Linked DNA regions of Caenorhabditis elegans. The protein of the gene in region 1 interacts with the protein of each later gene in a pairwise test. Each region holds a gene or a part of one and is shown in the gene's direction. Other genes may lie near its edges.

The links.
Region 2: the proteins of nstp-3 (region 1) and mig-38 interact in a two-hybrid assay, tested with the Caenorhabditis elegans proteins (one large-scale study listed by BioGRID).

What each region holds. Positions count from the first base shown.
Region 1 is NC_003283.11:5,792,406-5,799,850, reverse strand, and holds nstp-3 (UDP-galactose transporter), read left to right. Parts: upstream 1-1,666; 5' UTR 1,667-1,722; coding exon 1,723-1,793; intron 1,794-1,839; coding exon 1,840-1,980; intron 1,981-2,167; coding exon 2,168-2,306; intron 2,307-2,436; coding exon 2,437-2,659; intron 2,660-3,374; coding exon 3,375-3,506; intron 3,507-3,704; exon of another isoform or gene 3,705-3,916; intron 3,917-4,614; coding exon 4,615-4,736; intron 4,737-4,781; coding exon 4,782-4,988; 3' UTR 4,989-5,069; downstream 5,070-7,445. Other genes in the region: ZC250.2 (N-acetylgalactosaminide beta-1,3-galactosyltransferase), read right to left, coding at 5,070-5,352, 5,401-5,480, 5,539-5,991, 6,042-6,201, 6,639-6,862, 7,371-7,445.
Region 2 is NC_003282.8:11,591,076-11,601,884, forward strand, and holds mig-38 (Abnormal cell migration protein 38), read left to right. Parts: upstream 1-3,168; 5' UTR 3,169-3,249; coding exon 3,250-3,257; intron 3,258-3,306; exon of another isoform or gene 3,307-3,523; intron 3,524-3,620; coding exon 3,621-3,720; intron 3,721-4,234; coding exon 4,235-4,456; intron 4,457-4,506; coding exon 4,507-4,605; intron 4,606-5,104; coding exon 5,105-5,333; intron 5,334-5,380; coding exon 5,381-5,508; intron 5,509-5,562; coding exon 5,563-6,946; intron 6,947-7,104; coding exon 7,105-7,407; intron 7,408-7,454; coding exon 7,455-9,574; intron 9,575-9,630; coding exon 9,631-9,733; intron 9,734-9,852; coding exon 9,853-9,980; 3' UTR 9,981-10,628; downstream 10,629-10,809. Other genes in the region: spe-36 (EGF-like calcium-binding domain-containing protein), read right to left, coding at 556-619, 671-820, 871-990, 1,035-1,165; F40F11.3 (BOD1/SHG1 domain-containing protein), read right to left, coding at 1,276-1,305, 1,349-1,436, 1,484-1,587, 1,635-1,781, 2,926-2,928. UniProt on the Caenorhabditis elegans protein: During gonad development, involved in distal tip cell (DTC) migration from the dorsal side of the hermaphrodite body to the midbody which allows for the formation of gonad arms.

The sequences.
Region 1 (7,445 bases):
GATGGGGAGTTATTTGGGGGTGGAGCAAATAGGCGCTATGGAGGAAGAGATGAGAGGGTCACGAATAGAACGCGGCGAGCAGCGGAGAGGAGAAAGTTCGTTCGCCGTTTTGTCTAGTGTCGCTGAGCCGCTGACGAGGGGGTTCTGGAGACTTGTGGCTAGACAATCACTGAAATATGCCAAAGAAATATGTGAAGGAGGAGTTCAAGAATACGGGGGGTGGGCGAACGGAAGTATTTCGGGAAACGATCTCATGCGCTCCTCGCTCATTAGAGAACAAAGGCATGGTGGCGACTCGATGACACATTGCCGCCCCGATTGTGTTTGTCTTTGCATATTTTAGAAAAAATAAAGAGGTGAGAATTGAGCAGAGGGCAAGCATTCAAGTGGATAGGGATGCCGAATCCCCAAATCCGGATCATATCTTTAGAACATCAATAGGCTGTCGGATGTCAAACAAAACGTCGGAAGAAGGTCGAATGTTCGAGATTCCAAGCGTCCTGGTGTAGTTCAACTTGTAAAAGTTAATATGCATATAGAAAGTATGAAACAGTAATTGAAAATGCAAGCGCTAGCAAATAAAACACTTTAAATACTAGAGAAAAACAAAAATAAAGGTTCTATATCAAAAGCAACTTCTAGAAAGTTTGGTAATTTTTTCAGAAGTAAGATAGACTTGACCAGAGGATTTGAAACGCTTGGCAAATAGGCGATAAAAATAAAACAAATCATTCCCTGTCGTCTGAAGGTTGAAAATGCATTGAAGCCATTCATTTCAGCTTGGGTCTACCAACAGCTCCTAGTGGCCATCAAAGACATATTGTAACCCTCCCATTCCTTTACGTTTCATCAAAACTTAAACGTCTACTACAAGGCATAGCGTGTCTTCACGGCGAGTATCGTTAGAGCCATTGGAGTGCTGCAAACTGTTTAGACAACAAAACTGTTGTTTTCAGGTTAATTATTGAAATTTTTAAATCAAAAATTAATCGAGGAATTTTGGAAAATATTTTTTCTACCTGAAAGAATTTTTTTTTTTTGAAAAGTTTGAGAAAAAGACCTCAAATAGTTCCTTAAAGTTGCCATATGCCAAAAAAGCAATGACAATTAAGACAACTTTTAAAGGTTTTTCTCGAATTTTATACCAGAATAAATATTTTTCAGGAGTGAACTTATTTGTATAAACGTTGTTACATGGAATCTATACTTTCCAAATACCCTTACGGTGGTTTGAATTAAATCTGTAAGGCGAATAATCTGGAAGATCGAATGATTATCATCAGGTTCCTCGAATGCTGGTTGCATCCTTGATCAAACTACACATGAACATGGGATTTTAAGCGTTTCATTGGGATACCTGGTGAAGGATTGTTACCAGTTTTTTCCATTTCTATTCGTTTTTCAGGGATTTTTCATACAATAACATTGTTATAAGCTGTGTAGTTTTGATGTACATAAAGTATCCATTCTGAAAAATGTCCAAATCTTGGCATCCACCTCACTGAACTTATTATCCACCTTATTCTCCCCTGTCTCCTCTCATACGGATATATCTAATTGAAATCACAATTTCGGATCTTTTCAGGAGGCTTCTAACCGTCAACCGATAGCAATCTTCATCGTCATCGTGTCGTCCCAGACGAATAGCTAGTTCATCTTCGTGTTCTTTCCTAAATTCTTCCATTTTTCATCAGTTCTATACTCTGCACTTGAACTATCAAAATGAGTTCAAGTGAAAATGACTCAAAGTTTAAATACTTTGGTATTCTCCTGCTCACTATTCAACAAGCAAGGTGGGCATTGTTAATATTTTTTGAGTTTGTATGTGGGAAGTTTCAGCATGCCATTAATGGCTAGGTACTCTCGAGCCAGAGAAGATTCGAATGTGTTCTTTACAACTGTAAATGTATTCATGATGGAAATTATAAAAGTAGTGGTCTGCTCAGCAATTATGATTTACACAACCAAATCCGTTATGAAGTGAGTGAATTTTTTTCATTGATTTAAAAATTGTTATCTTTAAATCGTCGATTTAATTTTATAACATCGATTAAAAATTGCTCTAAATTTGACAAAATTTTATGAATATGTAAACATCGTGTTTGTTTAAAAATCTCAAAATCTACAAAAATTGACATTCTCAGCTTCCTATTAAAGTTATTTCCAGATACATAAACGAGCTGAAATTGGCAATATTTGAGCATCGTTCTGAAACTCTGAAAGTCTGCATTCCAGCCCTTATCTACACTCTTCAAAACAATCTGTACTACATTGCTCTATCCCATTTGGAGGCGACAACTTTCTGTGTAAGGAGCTTGAGGAAGCGAACACAGAAACAAAAAAGTCAAGTGTTTCGGCGACATGAAAAACAAATAGGGGATCATAGGAACAATGCGCAAATATGTTCAAAATTCAGTATATGGTTCATTTTTTCAGATATCATATCAAATGAAAATTTTTACAACTGCAATCTTCATGTACTTTTTCCTGGGAAAGAAATTGTCAACGAAACAGTGGTGGGCACTTGTTCTCTTGGTGTTGGGAGTTGCTGACATTCAGTACGTATACTCACCGCCTCCAGCAAGTGAAGATGTTGAGCAGAACCCAATGTATGGATTCATGGCAGTGCTCACAATGTGTTTCACTTCAGCATTTGCAGGTACAAGTTTAAAATGATTTGGAAGGACCGGATGGAAATTTGCAAAAAAAAGGGAATTTGGGATAAGGCTATTTCATTTGTATATTTTTCAATACTACGACATTATTTTGTACAATAATATTTTGTACACCTAAAAATACGGTTAAATTACAAGTTTTTTGCAGCATTTAACTCACAACTTTTTATGCCAGTAATAGCAAAAATCTGCTGAAAATATGGAAGAGCATCTCCAAATATTCCAATGGACCATTCACCTTGATTGAGTTGATTGTTGAGCTTTTGTAGTCGTAGAATAACAATTGGAAATTTTTATTGCAATAAATGGGCTTTCAACAACAGTCCAACTCTAGCAACTGTATACATGCCAAACTGGAAAGTTGTTAAAATTGGTAGTAAAGTTGTGGGAGGCAGAAGTTGCTTTTACTGCGGCGAAGTTGCTGTTGTGAGAAATTTTAATACAATCTAAATTTTCAAATGTTCATTCCCATGGAAATTTGCAACAAAAAAGAATTATACTAAAAAGTTACTTATCTTAAAAATACAGTAGTGCCTATTGTGTACCATTATTTATATAATAGCTTTGGTAGATAACACATCCTCTGTGTTTTGAATGACCATTTCCATTTGATGTTCAACTTTTTTTTGAAATCAAGTGATTTGTTTGTCCAGGTTATCCCTCTCTTATCCCAAAATAGAACTGATTTTATTTTTTCAGGTGTCTACTTGGAAAAAGTTTTGAAATCTAGCAATGCATCAATTTGGGTTCAAAACATTCGTCTTGCACTCATCGGACTTCCAATTTCATTTCTTTCAATGTGGTACTATGACTGGGAAAAAATAAATGAACGTGAGTTGCTAATAGTTTTAAGTAAACCGGGTTTCGAATTTCGAAAGAAAACTTTTAAATTGAAAAAAGTGGGTTGTAAGGAGGTGTCAATGAAACCGGAAAGATCATCGGTCGTAGCCTGAGAGGTATACAGTTGTGTGTTGAGTGTGTCTTCGATAAAGAAAAGAAAAGAGATGGATCCGCTTCACCCCTTCCGTGCCCATTGTCAATTTTCTTTTCTTTTCACACCTCTTGAAAAAGCAGACAATCCGATGGAAGGAACAGAGCCAGAGCACATGCTTGCCCCACCCGCATTCTGTTTGCACACTGACCATTGCCTGTTGCTCTGTATGTGAGCATGAAGAAAAGAGAGCTTCTGCATTCGTTGCATCAAGTGTTTCAAAACGGTCGCGGATGAATAACAATGGTTTTGTGGGGGGAGTGTGGCGCGAGCGATAGGTCGAGAACGGCGAAAACAAAATTGTTGCCAAAGAATGAACATTCGCTGGTAAGAAAATCAGGGAATCTTTTAGAAAATGGCAATAAAAGTTTATTTTTCAAAAAAAAAGTTCTAGTGAGAAAATGTTGTGCACATATTTGTCTCCATTTTTGCTGATGAATGTTTTTTATCAAGGCGGCCCTGGATAAAGTTGAAGCAGCTTACATCTTGCGAGTCGATTTTTGAATTGAACCATGAGTATTTTACTTGCAGAAAACTCTAGTTTTTAGGTTACAAATATTGTAAAAACGCTCGTTTTTCTCATATTTCGCGTTTGCTTAATTCATCTGTAAAAAGACCGTATCTCCTCTAAAAGTATTTCACCCCACTACTTTACTTTAAGTAGGTATATCTTGACTCAGCTTGACAATATCAAAAAATAATCAGTTGCAAAACGATAGAAAAAGAAATGATAAACATTTTATCAATTGATAACTTTTTTATAGGACAAATGACAACTAAGATATACGCGTAAATTTTGACGGCGTATATATACGCCGTCAAAATTTTGGGTGCATAGAGAAAATACTGTAGATTTCTAAAATCAATAATTTACAAATTATCATTTAAACAGGAGAATGATAAAAAACTTAAATTCACTTTTATTTCTAAAAAATTCTAATTTTTCAGAAGGCGCATTCCGTGGTTGGGACTTCGTGGTCGTTTGCTTGACAGTCACCAATTCAGTTGGTGGAATATTGATATCTGTGGTAATAAAGTACGCCGACAACATTCTAAAAGCATATGCTCAGGCAAGAAATTCATCTGATGTCCAATACAAAAATAATATATTACAGAGTATGGCAATCATCGGAGCTGCGGTTGGATCGTGGATTCTTTTTGATTTTGCTCCTGGTTTTATGTTCCTTCTTGGCACATTTATGGTCATTGTTTCAATAATTATTTATACCGCATTCCCGTATCAAGAGCCGGAATCGAAGCTTAGTGCATATCTGAAATCGCAACAAAACTCGTCACTTTTGATGATTAAACCGGAAAAGTAGAAGTTCAAGATGAAGAATTTATTATTCAATGAATGATACTCGTAATAACAATAACACATTCCTGTTATACATGTCGTTTTCCTAAAGCTCAGATTTGTGATTATATTCTTCTAATTCTACTAGGTACTCGTAATATACTGAAATTGGATCTATATCAGTAAATTTATGAAATGATATTGGATATTTTATGTACTCCGGAGCATAATCTAGAGGTCTCGCTTGATGTAATCTAGATTCGTGAACAATTGGAATTCCAGCTGTTAGTGCACAAATTCCGATCGTCATATCATCCGGATCAGTATTTGCAATACACGATGGGCATTGTGCAAGTAAAGATTCAACTGCGGAGCGCGTGAATATCATTCTGAAAGTCAAACAAATTGAGAAATCTAGAAAAACTATTTGAACAAACCCAGATCCGCCAGTGGGATAGTCATATCCACTGTCACCATTCAAACTAAATCCATATCCATAGCGCTCGCCAATAATTATCTGAAATGTTTTAAAGATACTCATTAATAGTAAGATCTATGAAATTAGAAATACCTACCTTATCTCCAGAATCATATAACTCTAACATTTGCTTCAACCGTTTGAAATTCATCAATGTATCATCATCGGCTACTACAAGCCATTTCGCTCCATTTCCAGAACTTCCCAAAAATCTTCTGAATATTTCCCATGTCTTTGCACAATGTCCTCTGTCCGTATTGTCGACTCCTAGATTGATTGTTGGAATTGCCGGATCCTCTTTGTCGCTACAGTACTCTATGCGTGACACGTCGGATGCCCAAGTGTTTTTGAGAACTTCAAGTCGGTTCACATGATGTCCTTCGAACGTTTTGACCATGACATGAACTTCAGAATCAGAAATTGAATTTGACGTTTTTGGAAAGGGAATTGAACATTTTACAATGCAACTATCAATGGTATCTCCACAACAAAAATAATCAGGATGATGGTGAAGCCTCAAATTTTCCCATTTGTGTAAAAACTGAGCAAACTAAAATGTGAAATCGTTTGAGAAATAATATTATCTGGAAATGGTAATACCTCATATTTTGCATCAATTGCAAATCCGGACCATCGATCGTTTATATCGACTTTTCGAATAATTTCAACTACACTTTTTGACAAGATAAAACCAGCAGAAAATAAGGGATATTGGAAATTTTCAGGAGCATTCATTCCAAAGTGATGGATAATTGTCGGGCTTAACAGTTTTTTTTTTATATTTTGGACTTTTGTTTTGTAGAAACTTTGAAATTTTGAAATTTTGAAATCTATCATTTCTCTATTAGGCAGATGCGAAATTTTACAATTTGTAATGCAAAAATACAGTAACAGGTCTCGATACGACCGAATCTGTTCAAATTAAAACGAGTGTGCGCCTTTAAGAAGTACAGTAGTCTCTCGGTTTGTTTTTTTTTCAATTCCAACTTTTCTGTTTTTTGCAGCTTTTTCGTATACTCGGTTTTTAAAAATGAAAAAGTAGAGCAACTGGAAAACGAAAGAAAACCAGTGAGGCATGGAGACTACTGTACATTTTAAAGACACACATCTCTCTTTTTTTACATCATCGGTCGTGTCGAGACCAGGTTCCGTAGTTTTTCGTCGAAGCTAAAATTCCCTAAAAAATCTCAAACTTACTCTCGATCCTGAAGTGCAAACCCGGAAAATACCATATCAGAAGATGGTTCAGATTCGAAGAACTTCGGTAAGTTTGAAATATTAATTTCAGAAGTATCTTCTGCGATGATTATCCAATCAGAAATAAACGGCAATTTCATAATTGCGGGAACTATAGTCCACATCCCTTGAGGATAAGATTCCGTGGAAAAATCATTTAGAGCGTCGAAAACGGAACAAGAGAGCTGAAATTTAGTGATTCTCAGTAACTATTTAGGATTATTTTATGAGAGTTTAGTTTTTTTCGTCCAAAATTTATTTTAGAAAGTGGACATATTACTGGAACACAAAATTCTGAGAATGTATTGCGCAAAATATCTCGTCGCGAAAACTACAGTAATTTTTGAAATGACTACTGTAGCGTTTGTGTCGATTTACGTGCTCGCTTTTTGAAATGAATTAATCATTGCTTTATCGATAGAATATTAAAATTCTGCAAAAAATGAGAAAAGTACACGGCGAAACGAGGGAAAATGGAAGCTACAGTAGTAATTTCAAGAATTACTGTAGTTGTCGTTACGAGATATTTTTCGCGTCAAATATGATGAGCAGTACGCATTCTCGGAATTTTGTGTTCCCGTAATATAAATCTTCTGTTCAGTAAACTGTTTTCCGATTGAAATTCGCTGAACGGGCGCTATTTAGTTTGATAAGCCTCTTTGTTAAAAGACAGATTTTTCTAAGAATTCAAACCTTTAATATTTCACAATCTGCTAAAATTTGCTTCCTCCTTTCCATTACTCTTTGTTCAGTAAGTTTGTATCTAGA
Region 2 (10,809 bases), on another chromosome or scaffold:
CTATAAAATGTTCAACAATTTCTTGTCTTCTAGTAGCGAACGACGTAAATGATTCCAAAATTCGCGAAACTTGGTGAAACAACTTTAGAATATAGGTCCTCCTTGTACAGTTCATGGAGTTAAAGTTTCTTTTTTTAACATAAAATGAACCATCTTGTGCAATTTGGGTTTTCCCTATTTTGCAACTTTTCATTAATGATTATTTTATTTTTTTTTTTTTTTTAAGTTTTTTATTTTAAAAAAACCTGGCCTCGCTCCGACTGATATAATTTCAAATCGAGGCGGCGCTAATAATGAATGCGCCATTAAGAAGTACAGTAACCCGCTCTATTTAATTATCGATTCTTAAATTTTCCTATGTTTTTAATATTGGTTTTTCATGTTTGTTGTAATAGAAAACATCAAAGAAAATTTGGAGAAAGCGATGCATTTGGTTACTGTACTTTTTAAAGACGCACATTTAAAAAATATTTTTTTAGCCTTTCGTTTGAACTTTTAAAGTGTCTTCTTATGAACAATTTTAATAAATTGGTGGTAAGATTCATGAATTCAAACCTGTGAAGCCGAAATCTCCATCCCGAGTCGTTGATCATCAATTATCTTTTTCATTGCCAACTCACTAAATCATCAATATTACTTAAATCTAAAAAAGAAACAATGATGAACTCACTCCAAATCAATGTTATCCTGCAAAATCCACGGCTGTATCTCACTAATGTTACTTATAATTGTGTCCAAGCATATTTCAAGTCCCTTTTTACACTCTGATCCAATATTTATATCAAAATCATATTCAGGTGATGGATATAGATGTTCGAATCTTAAATTTTTGAAATTTTTTTTTCAAATAATTTATTAAATAGAATTTACCCATTTTCTTCAACACCCCAAGCCACAAGTTTTTTGAAAACTCGAAAATATGTAGCTAAAATTCCAATTTTAACGGATATCTCATCTGTTCGATCTTCCACAATTATTCGAGAGTACTCGCTAAACTTATGATTTTAAAATTGTTTCTTTCGTTGTCAACGCACTCCTTAATTGCACTATTATAGTCTACGTTGTATGAAGTCAGAAGCTTGAGAGTCACTTCCTCGTCATCTTCAATTGACGAAGCCGGTGACGCAAGAGCTATGAAGAACAGAATACATATTTTGAAATTCATCATTGAAAAAGTGTTATACACAAATTGATAAATAAAATACATTCAATTTGTTGAGATGTGTTGACAATTACGTGACGACCCGTGAATTGTGAAGCGGCGTAAAAAGACGATCAAATTGAGTTCTCCAATTGTTTGTTAACCTTAAAAATATTAATTTGTTTATTAATTCTTGTTTCAATTCACTTTTTCATCAATTTCTTTGTCCAGTTCATCGTGCACCCACTCCTTTTCGAACTCCACGCGTATTTGTCGATTAATGTCGTTGCGCATTCTATAAGAGAGATAATTCAGATTTTAACCATTTCCTCACGGACTCACTTTGCATTTTCATTCATGAAATCTTTCATTTTCCGTTGAATTTCTTCTTGCGTAAGATTCGCTGACGATGCAATGATTTCATCTACTTTAACCAACATTTCATTCTGTAATACATTTTATTCAATTATTGTATTCTGACAAAAACACCAACCTCAATCCGGTGCACCAATTTTGAATCCTTGACGTGCTCAATTGCTTGTTTTCGCAGTTTATCGAAAGTTCCTCCTTTTTTCAACTCCATCTCAACATTCCCCACGATTTTGTCCTCATCGATGTATGGGCAAGACATTTTTTGAATCTGAAATTTAAAAAATTAAATGTTTTCACAATTTTAAATGAATGAACAAATAAATATTTATAAAGAATTCTTTAAAGAATTAAGAAAAACTAATTTCCCTTCAAAAAATTCTCCGTAAATCGACAGGGACTAGAAAATGCTAGTCCGCGGCCATGACTAATCAGAGTGAAAACGCGCTCCAATATCTAGCGAACAGTTTTTTGAAAGTTAGTTTTTTTAATTTTTAATTTTCTATTCTCTCATTTATAAGTAAAAATAAAACTTAATTGTAAATTAAACAATTTCAATTTTTATTCATTTTTATAAAACAAATTTCAAACTTTTTTCCGAGTATATTTTGAAAAACGATTCTCACCTAAATTATATTTATGCGGATGTTTTTTCATGGAACTTTTTATTTTTTTCAATTTTCGTCTTTTGAGTTTTAATCATAAAACTTCTAACTAAAACCTTCTTGTTTTCTTTTTTCAAATTTGTATTTAAACTTGTGCTCTTCATTCTTCAATTTTTGAATGTGTAATTGAAAAAAGCATCAAAGAAGTCATACTCGCTAAAAACAATGTCAAGAAAAATCTCATGCCCATGCGTTCATTTTTCTCTCAATATCATCACGTTGATGGTTACTGGTGTATGCTTGTATGCGCCTCTCGTTGTGAGCGTCAATGAGGAAGACCAGTGTGTAAGGGGGTAGATGCAGAGACACATCTGTGATGAGACGAGAGATGCAGACAGTTAAAGATAGTGTAGAGAGCGTACTCAATGGTGGAGTGTTCTGTTCAGGTCTCCTCGGTTAGTGCTGTGTCTAGTTGCGTATACACATACACACACTTGCTTTAAAATCAATTTGCGTCTTCGCCTATTGCAATACAAAACGGTGTGTGTATGTATGCGGGTGTATCTCTATGTATATATATATTTCTTTCTCTGACGCCATCACACCCAGAAAGCATCGATGCTTTCTCGTTGGTGATGATGACGCTGATGGTGATGATGATACGTTTGGGGCGCATCGAGCTTTTTCTTCGCTCGTCTGAAAATAAAAAAAAACATATTTGTGCTTATAATTATTACCGCCTCACCAAATGGTGTCTTGAGAGTTTATACGAGCGATTTTTGTTAAGCGCTGTCTTACTAAGACCCCTACCATTACTTGTCGTGTGCGTCAAAGCATATGACCTTGTGGCGTCCATTCACTGCGTCTCTCGATCGATACCCGTGCCTGTGTCTGTGTGTGTCTGTTTCGCAGCCGGCATCGCCTTTTATTCTCCCCTCTTACTAACTTGCGTCCCGTCTCGCCCTCTTTCGATCTCCTGTTTCTTCTTTGTGCATTTTCTTCGAAAAATTGCATATAATTAATACAACAAAAAACAAAATAGTCCATAATTCCAGACTTAATCAACACGTTCGCCTACACGTTTTGCGATTGTGAGGCGACCTATGGAAACAAGATAATGATTCGGAAACAATAATGTCTTAGTAAGTGCACAATATTTTGGTTTATTTGGTATCATTGATGGGTCTGCATGCAGCAGCGCCCACCATGTCCACACCGCCGCTCCGTGTGTCTCTTTTATATGCACGTTCGTTTGGCCACGCCCATGCAGTATGAACTTGTGGACGCTCCGCCCACAGTCTCCCCCGTCCCTTGTCTCGCCGCCTCTCTTAGGCGGGGGCACAGCAGGAGGAACGAGGAGGAGATGCAGACTGAAAAACGTTTTTGACATTGCCCCAACGACGGTGTGGGCGGAGCCATACACACACAGCGCGGTCTCCATTTCATTTCATTTTCACTCCCAAAAAGCTGCTTGACTAACCTCTGATTTTTTGTTTTTTTTTCAGCGAAGAGGATGACTGGTTCTCGTACAGAACAGAGTTCAACAAACGGGCAGACAGTCCACGAGCAGCCGGGAACTATGATTTTGAGTCTGGAAACATTGATGTAAGTGTCATATCATGGAGGCCCAGAAAAACCCTCTTGAAATCAACGCGGGAATGCTCCACTCCTATGCCATGGGTCTCGTTAGGTATTTTCGTATGTCGTTTTGTTCGTTTTTCCTCTTTCTTAATGATTTTCTTGCAAAAATTGAGTCAATTTCCAACTTCACATATATTTACATATATTCAGCATAAAATGCGCTAAAACAACGGAGATCATAACGAAAAAAAAACGAAAATTTGCAAAATCAACATAAAGTTCTTCCTTTTTGTGATATCCTTGGTTTTCAATGATTTTTACACTGAAATTATGTTTTAAAATATATTTATATCACTTGTTTATGACATCAATTTCGGCGAGAAAATCAATAAAACAATGAAAAAACAACGAAAATGCTTGGAAATTGGCGAAATCACGGGTTTTCCGCTAAATACCTAATGAGACCTTTATCTGCGTACCCATAATACTAAATGCTCTTCTTTTTTTTTTTCATTTTCCAACTTTCATCGCTTTACAGAACATCCCACTCAATGATGACGGACCATTATCACCCAGTCAAGATTTCGATTTAGCTGGAACACTCGAGGAATACGAATCGTATGATTTGAGATTATCACCGAACGGAGGACTCAATCGAGAAGATCAACAACCAGGTCCCAGTGGAAATAACGATGGACAATATCATGTTATGCAGAATAATGATTCATTTGCCCAGCATATGCAATCATCGAATACAATTGTAAGTGTTCACACACATGATCACTTAATTATCAATTTTCATATTTTCAGGAGTATAACTCATTCGAAATGCCCACTGTTATCAATTCTAATCATGACGTCGGCCCGTATCAAGATCTTGGTATTGATGACCCTAATTCGTTTTATGCGGTATGTTTTTAATGGAAAAATTGAAGTTCAAAAAACTTTTCGAACAAAAATTGATATAAAAATGTTTTTAAAAAATAGAAAAGTCCGAAAAAGAGTTCGAATAGTACCGGAAAGTGAAATTTTTACCGGCAGAGGGCAACTAATATGTAATATTTGAGGTCTTTGTCGAACTTTTCCATAGAGTAAGGAAAACATTCATTTGATCTGAACATTTTTTTGTTGCAAATTCCAGAAATTAGCACAAAAAATCACATTTATACCGGAAAACGGCAATTTTTGGGCTCCAATTAAGTTTTTCTGAAGCTTTTCAGCGAAAAAAAAAACTATATTTTGCTACATTTTTATATTAATTTTTGATTTAACAATTGAATTATGATACTGAAATTTACAGTCCTGAAAAACTAGAACCTAGAAACATTTTTTAAAACTCTGATATTTTCTATATCTAAAATATTAAAATTGAAGTTTATAAAATTGTTAAAAATTATTTTTCTTTCAGAATCAACAGCCATCAACGTCACAAGGGAATGATATGATAATCAATGAGAACTATGAAATGATGGGTCCATCGACATCATATATGCCACAAATAGATCATATGAATCCTTCTGGGAACTCTTCTTCGCAGATTAATCATCAACAGGGAATGATTGTTCCACAAGTTCAACAACAGCCCGCAAAACCGAAGACAACAAAAAAGAGGCCTCCACCGAAGAAAAAGACAGCTGGTAACTTTTTTTTGCCTTATTTGCTCAATTTATTTGATTATTTTCAGCTCAAGCGCCTGATACAGTTGGTACAGTACTCACGAAAGTGAATAAATTAACTCAACAGATTGACAACAACAACGACAATCAAGAACAAAAAATTGAGACACGAATATCTGCGGAAGACTTGGTTCGAGTATGTTTGATTAAATCTTAAATCTAAAAATTTATAAATAAAAATTATTTTTAGGTCAGCGCGCTATTGAGCAGATTGGATGTATATCAGAAAGAACAGGCACAAGGAAATAACACTCATGATCAAGATATTGAAGCGCTTCAAGCTGAAATAGCACAGGTGTTTACCAAGAATATGGCAATGAGTGCGAATGATGCTCCAGGAAACAGTATACTTAGTCAAATTCAAAATCTCACAAGTATTGGTAGCTCAGCTTCATCATCTGCACAGCCTTCTCAACCTGCCAAAAAAGCTGCTCCCAAGAGAAAAACCGTACCGAATACGGCAAAAAATCTCGCTCAAAATCAGCAGATAATGCCACCACAGGCTCAAATAACGCCTACCAAACTCGTTATGGATCCTCCGACAACAACGATGGTTCCAAGTAGCAGTCAGTCGAATCATATGTATAGTAATGATGGCTTCACGACATACAATCAAATGGATGAACCCGGAACGAGTCAGCAACAACAATATAATGATTATCGACAGCCTCCATCTCAGGAATCAATGCAATATGGTCACCAACAGATTATTCAAGCAAGAGTTGTGCCTTCTATGAACCAGAAAACTCATAACTATCGTCAAGCAGTAGTGTTTGCATCTCCGAATACAAATGGACCGTCATCACAACTACAACGGCCACAATCCGGCATGGATCAAATGCAAGACCAACAATATCATGCTCAGGATCTTCAAGGATCCCAAGTTCAACAAACATTCGTTTCTGTACAACATGACGGGCAAATTTATCAAGAAGTGGAGCCAACGTTGAGAGATTTTGTTCGACAGGGAAGGTACCAAGGTCCACAGGATGCACCGCATCTTCGGCAACAGTTGATCACAAATGTAAATGCGACAACAAACAAGCAAATGGTTCATCGAAGTCAAGATCCGACACCATCGCCTGGAAACCTCCAACAATTCGGTGAACCTCTTCAACGCCATGGAAGCTATCCACATAGTCATGATATGAGACCAAATTCACATTCACAATCTCAACACAGCTACAGTAATCATTACGATGGAGCCACCGAGTTCTTTGATGTGTCAATGCAACATCAAGATAGTCAAATGTCACAAATTCAACCAGGATCACAACATTATGTTCAACAACAAGAGCTGTATCATCCAATTGGAGATCAACAACAAATGGTTGAACCTGAATCAGAATATCCGGTTCCCCAGGTTACCAATGAGTTGAGCGAAGAAGAGTTGAGAGCTATAATGGAAGAAAAACGACAGATTCGACAGAAACGATTGAAAGATATCATGATAGATCAACTGAATCGATTAGAAGAGCCCGTGGATGTAACTCCTTTCAGAAATAAGATGGATGTTTTGGAACGACTACTTCCATATCATCATTTTGCAAATGAAGAAGAACCAGTGTCAGATTGTAAGTTTTTTTTCAATTTGGAAACAAAAACTAGCTATTTGAGTATCGCTTCAATGAAAATGAAAAATGTATTTTTCAATTAAAAATAACATTGAAACATTAAGAAAAATGTTTTTTTTTTAAATTTCCTCAACCCTTTATCATTTTACGTTTTTCAGTTGATTCTACGTTTCAAAGAGTTATGGATAATGCTGTACATCAGGCGAATTCCATCGGAAATCGAATTCGAAATATCGTACTTCGTGATACTATGAGATCTTCGACAGAGTGGGAAGAGAACATGATCTTGTTCCTTGAAACAGAATCGGAGCGTCGAAAACTGGAAGATGATAAGAAATTGGCTGATCAAGATCTGAGCACATTTTTGCGTAATAGTGATATAATTCAAAACGTGAGAGCTAGAAGATTGGATGTGGAACGAACGCGACTAAGGGTTCCTCGAATTCCAGCACATTTGAAAGGTTGGCAAAACTTTTTGAAAAAAATCTATAATATAATTCTTTTTCAGAACTTGATCTTCAAAACGGCCAGCTTTCGTCGCTGTATCGAGAATACGAGTTCGATTCATACGATGAAAATCGTCCACGTGGATCACCATTTGTCTACGAAGAGCCAGAATCGGAATCTGAGTCGGAACCAGAAGCAGAGCCAGAACCGAAGAAGGACAATTTCGCCGAACCGGAACCAGCTCGTGGCGATATTTCTCCACTCATCGGTTTCCCTCAATTATCACCGATTCCTTCTCCGTCAAGATATCGAAATGAGAGTGAGAGCACGTTTGATTGGAAAGATGAAGATGAATCCCCGTTGTTGTCTCCAGAAACTGAAAAAATCAACAAAGCTGCAGATCAGTTTCGAAAGGAAATTTTTGGGACTCAAGAAGATTTGGATAAATCGGAACCATTTCCGTTTGAACAAATATCTGAAGCTGCTCGGAATCAACATCTCATCACAGCTCAACCACAACTTCCTCGAGTGGATGCCAGCTCAATTGGATCTCTTGCAAGTTCTTCATCGACAGTTGATCACAGTCCACAATCCATCCATCCAGTTTTCTCACCCAAAGCTGCAATCCAGTCAAGTTCAGTTCAAGTTATGAAGCCTCCACGAAGTCCTAGTTCTGTTTCGTGTAAACTATCAACGCCATGTGTTGAACAGTCTCTACCAGAGGAAAGTCATTATGAAGGTTCACCTGAAATTGACGAGGATTATGATATGTCTCCGATCAGAGAAAATGAGCCGGCCGAACTAATTTCACTTCCAATTTCAGTAAATATGATCAAGAAAGAGAAAGAGGATTCTACTCCAAAGTTGAAATTACGGATCCCAGCTGCTGTTCTTCAGAATGGTATTGTTGCAAGTGAAGATGAGAGTGATGTGGCAGTTGAGGAAACTATTCCTGCGATTCGGAAGCCGCTTAAGCTGAGGTTCAATCTAAAAGATATCAAGTTGGAAGAACCGTCACCAGATCGAGATGTAGCTAGCAGTCGTCCAAAATCGAGAACTGAGCCGCCTCCAACTCCAGAAAAGTTGCATGTTAAGATAAAAGCTTCACCAGCTGAGACGACGCCAACGAAGTTACAATTGAAAGAAAAGTCGCCAGCAAAAACGCCAGTTTTCAAGACTCCACTGCAAACTCCGATCAAGATGACACCTTCGCCATCTGAATCGAGAAAACGTAGAAGTGCAAAAATCGAGGATAGTCCAGCCCAGAAGAAGAAACTTTTGAATTCGGGTAGCAGCTTTGTAACTCCAAAGAATGGATTGAGGGCTGAACTGGACGAGACTGTCGAGAGACCTCTACGAATTATGACCGATGGACGGAAGATTGTGATGAAGATTAGCAAAGTTTCGAGAAACATCAATCACTTTGTTACACCGCGCAGAGATAAGAAAGGAAATCTTCATAAAGATCTATCCCCGACGAATTATACACGATTAACGATGAAGCTGATGAAGAAGAAAGGGGAATTATCAGTTGAATTCACTGAAACTCCCAATAAGAATAGTGAGGAAGACGATCATAAGATTCCAAACATTCCTAGCACGAGTACTTCAATTCCACCTGCTTCAACAGTCGTTTCTTCCGTTTCCGTGAAGGGTAGACCTGCTCCTGCTTCAAGAAAATCGTCGATCGACACTGCTGGAAAGGACAAGAAAGGGCAATTAGCAAAGAATAAAGCTGCGTTTTGCAATCGTTTTAATCCTTTCGCAAACGTTCCCAGTTCGAAACCATCGACTTCTTCTGCTGTTTCTGCTACTCCCTCAACATCTTCTGCAGTATCCGCAAAGCTTCCAACAGGAAAGACACCTGGTCGCCCCGTCGCTCTTTCAACTCCAAGATCTTCGCATAAGCCACCACAAGCAGTTGTTGCTCCACGTCCAAATTTGATTCGAACTGCTCCGGTTGTACCGAAAATCACTGTCACAAATGCATCGGAGAGCAGTCTTCCTTCTAAATCTCATATCCCAATTGAAGTGAAACCAAAGTTGTCTTCACTTCTTCCATGGGTATCAGACACCGATGAAAGCCCTGAACAGAAGCATAAATTGAAGAAAACGATGCCTTCAATTAATTTATTAAAAGTGAAAACGGAACCTCCGGAAGCTGATGCTGTTACATCAAAGGTAAAATTATATTAATTTTAAAAAAATGTATTTAAATATAAAAATTGTATTCTTAGCCTGAATCTCCTCGTGCATCATCGTCGATGTCGTTTTTTGAAGACGCATTTCTACGATCCCCAAAACGATCGAATGAGCCACTGCCTGTTGTCGAATTTTCTGGTGAGTTCAATTATTCATCAGTTCCAATATAAATATACTCAAGTTATAAATAAAAGTGTTTGAAAAATTCCCAACTAAAAATAAATAGATTTCGTGATTTAGTTTTTTTTCAATTTCAGACGACGAGGAGAACGATTTGGCTCATTCGACATTCAGTCATGCCACTGATCATTTGCTAGGAACTAGCAATATGAACAGCTCAACAAATGGATCTTCATCAGGTCTACCTTGGTCCACGGATCCCTAAGTGCCATACGACGTCTCATGGCTGGTCCATCAATACAATCCCCATTTCTCAATTTTCTAGACTGTGATTCTGCCTTCCCATTCCCAAAAATCATCGAGCCCGTTACATTATAGGATATCTATGTGCTTACTATTTATAATCTCTCTTTTTTTCATAACTTAAGACCTCTTTCTCATTCATTTTCATGGTGCTTTTTTCTCAAACCTTCCCCATCAAACACATCCTTTTTTGATTTCATTGAAGAATCGGTCTCGACACGTACACCACGTCTTTTACAGAAGAAACCTCCCTATGTACTCTTCTGGTTGTTCTTGTCTAATAGTCAATTCACTTTTCGAATTTTTTTTTCCATCGAACTCACTATTTTCTCTTTTGTTTAGTCAATCTACCCCATTTCTCATTCCGTGCTCAAAACTCCCTTCATTTTTCATTGTTACATTTTTGTGAGTTCCAATTGATAATTGTGATTTTCGCGGGTACGAGATCTGTTTTCCAATTGTTATCATTTATATTTACTTATTCCTGATTTTTTTTGTTCATTTTACATATATATCTGTTCCATAGATGTAGTTTTTTTTCCATTTTCAAAATGTATAATTTAAAGTAGTAAATACTTAAAATTTTACAAAAATAGAAAACTGATATTTTTATCTTATAGCATTTTTCAGAGAACGAGATGATGATGACTTTCGTATCTGTAATATTTAGAAAAGAGAAATATTCGGAAGAAAATATCACGAGATTCCTTTGTTGAATGCATGAACTCATTATTTATATTCGTGATTTTATTGTTAAGTTTTGAAAAATGAGCTAATTTTGGGCCGACACG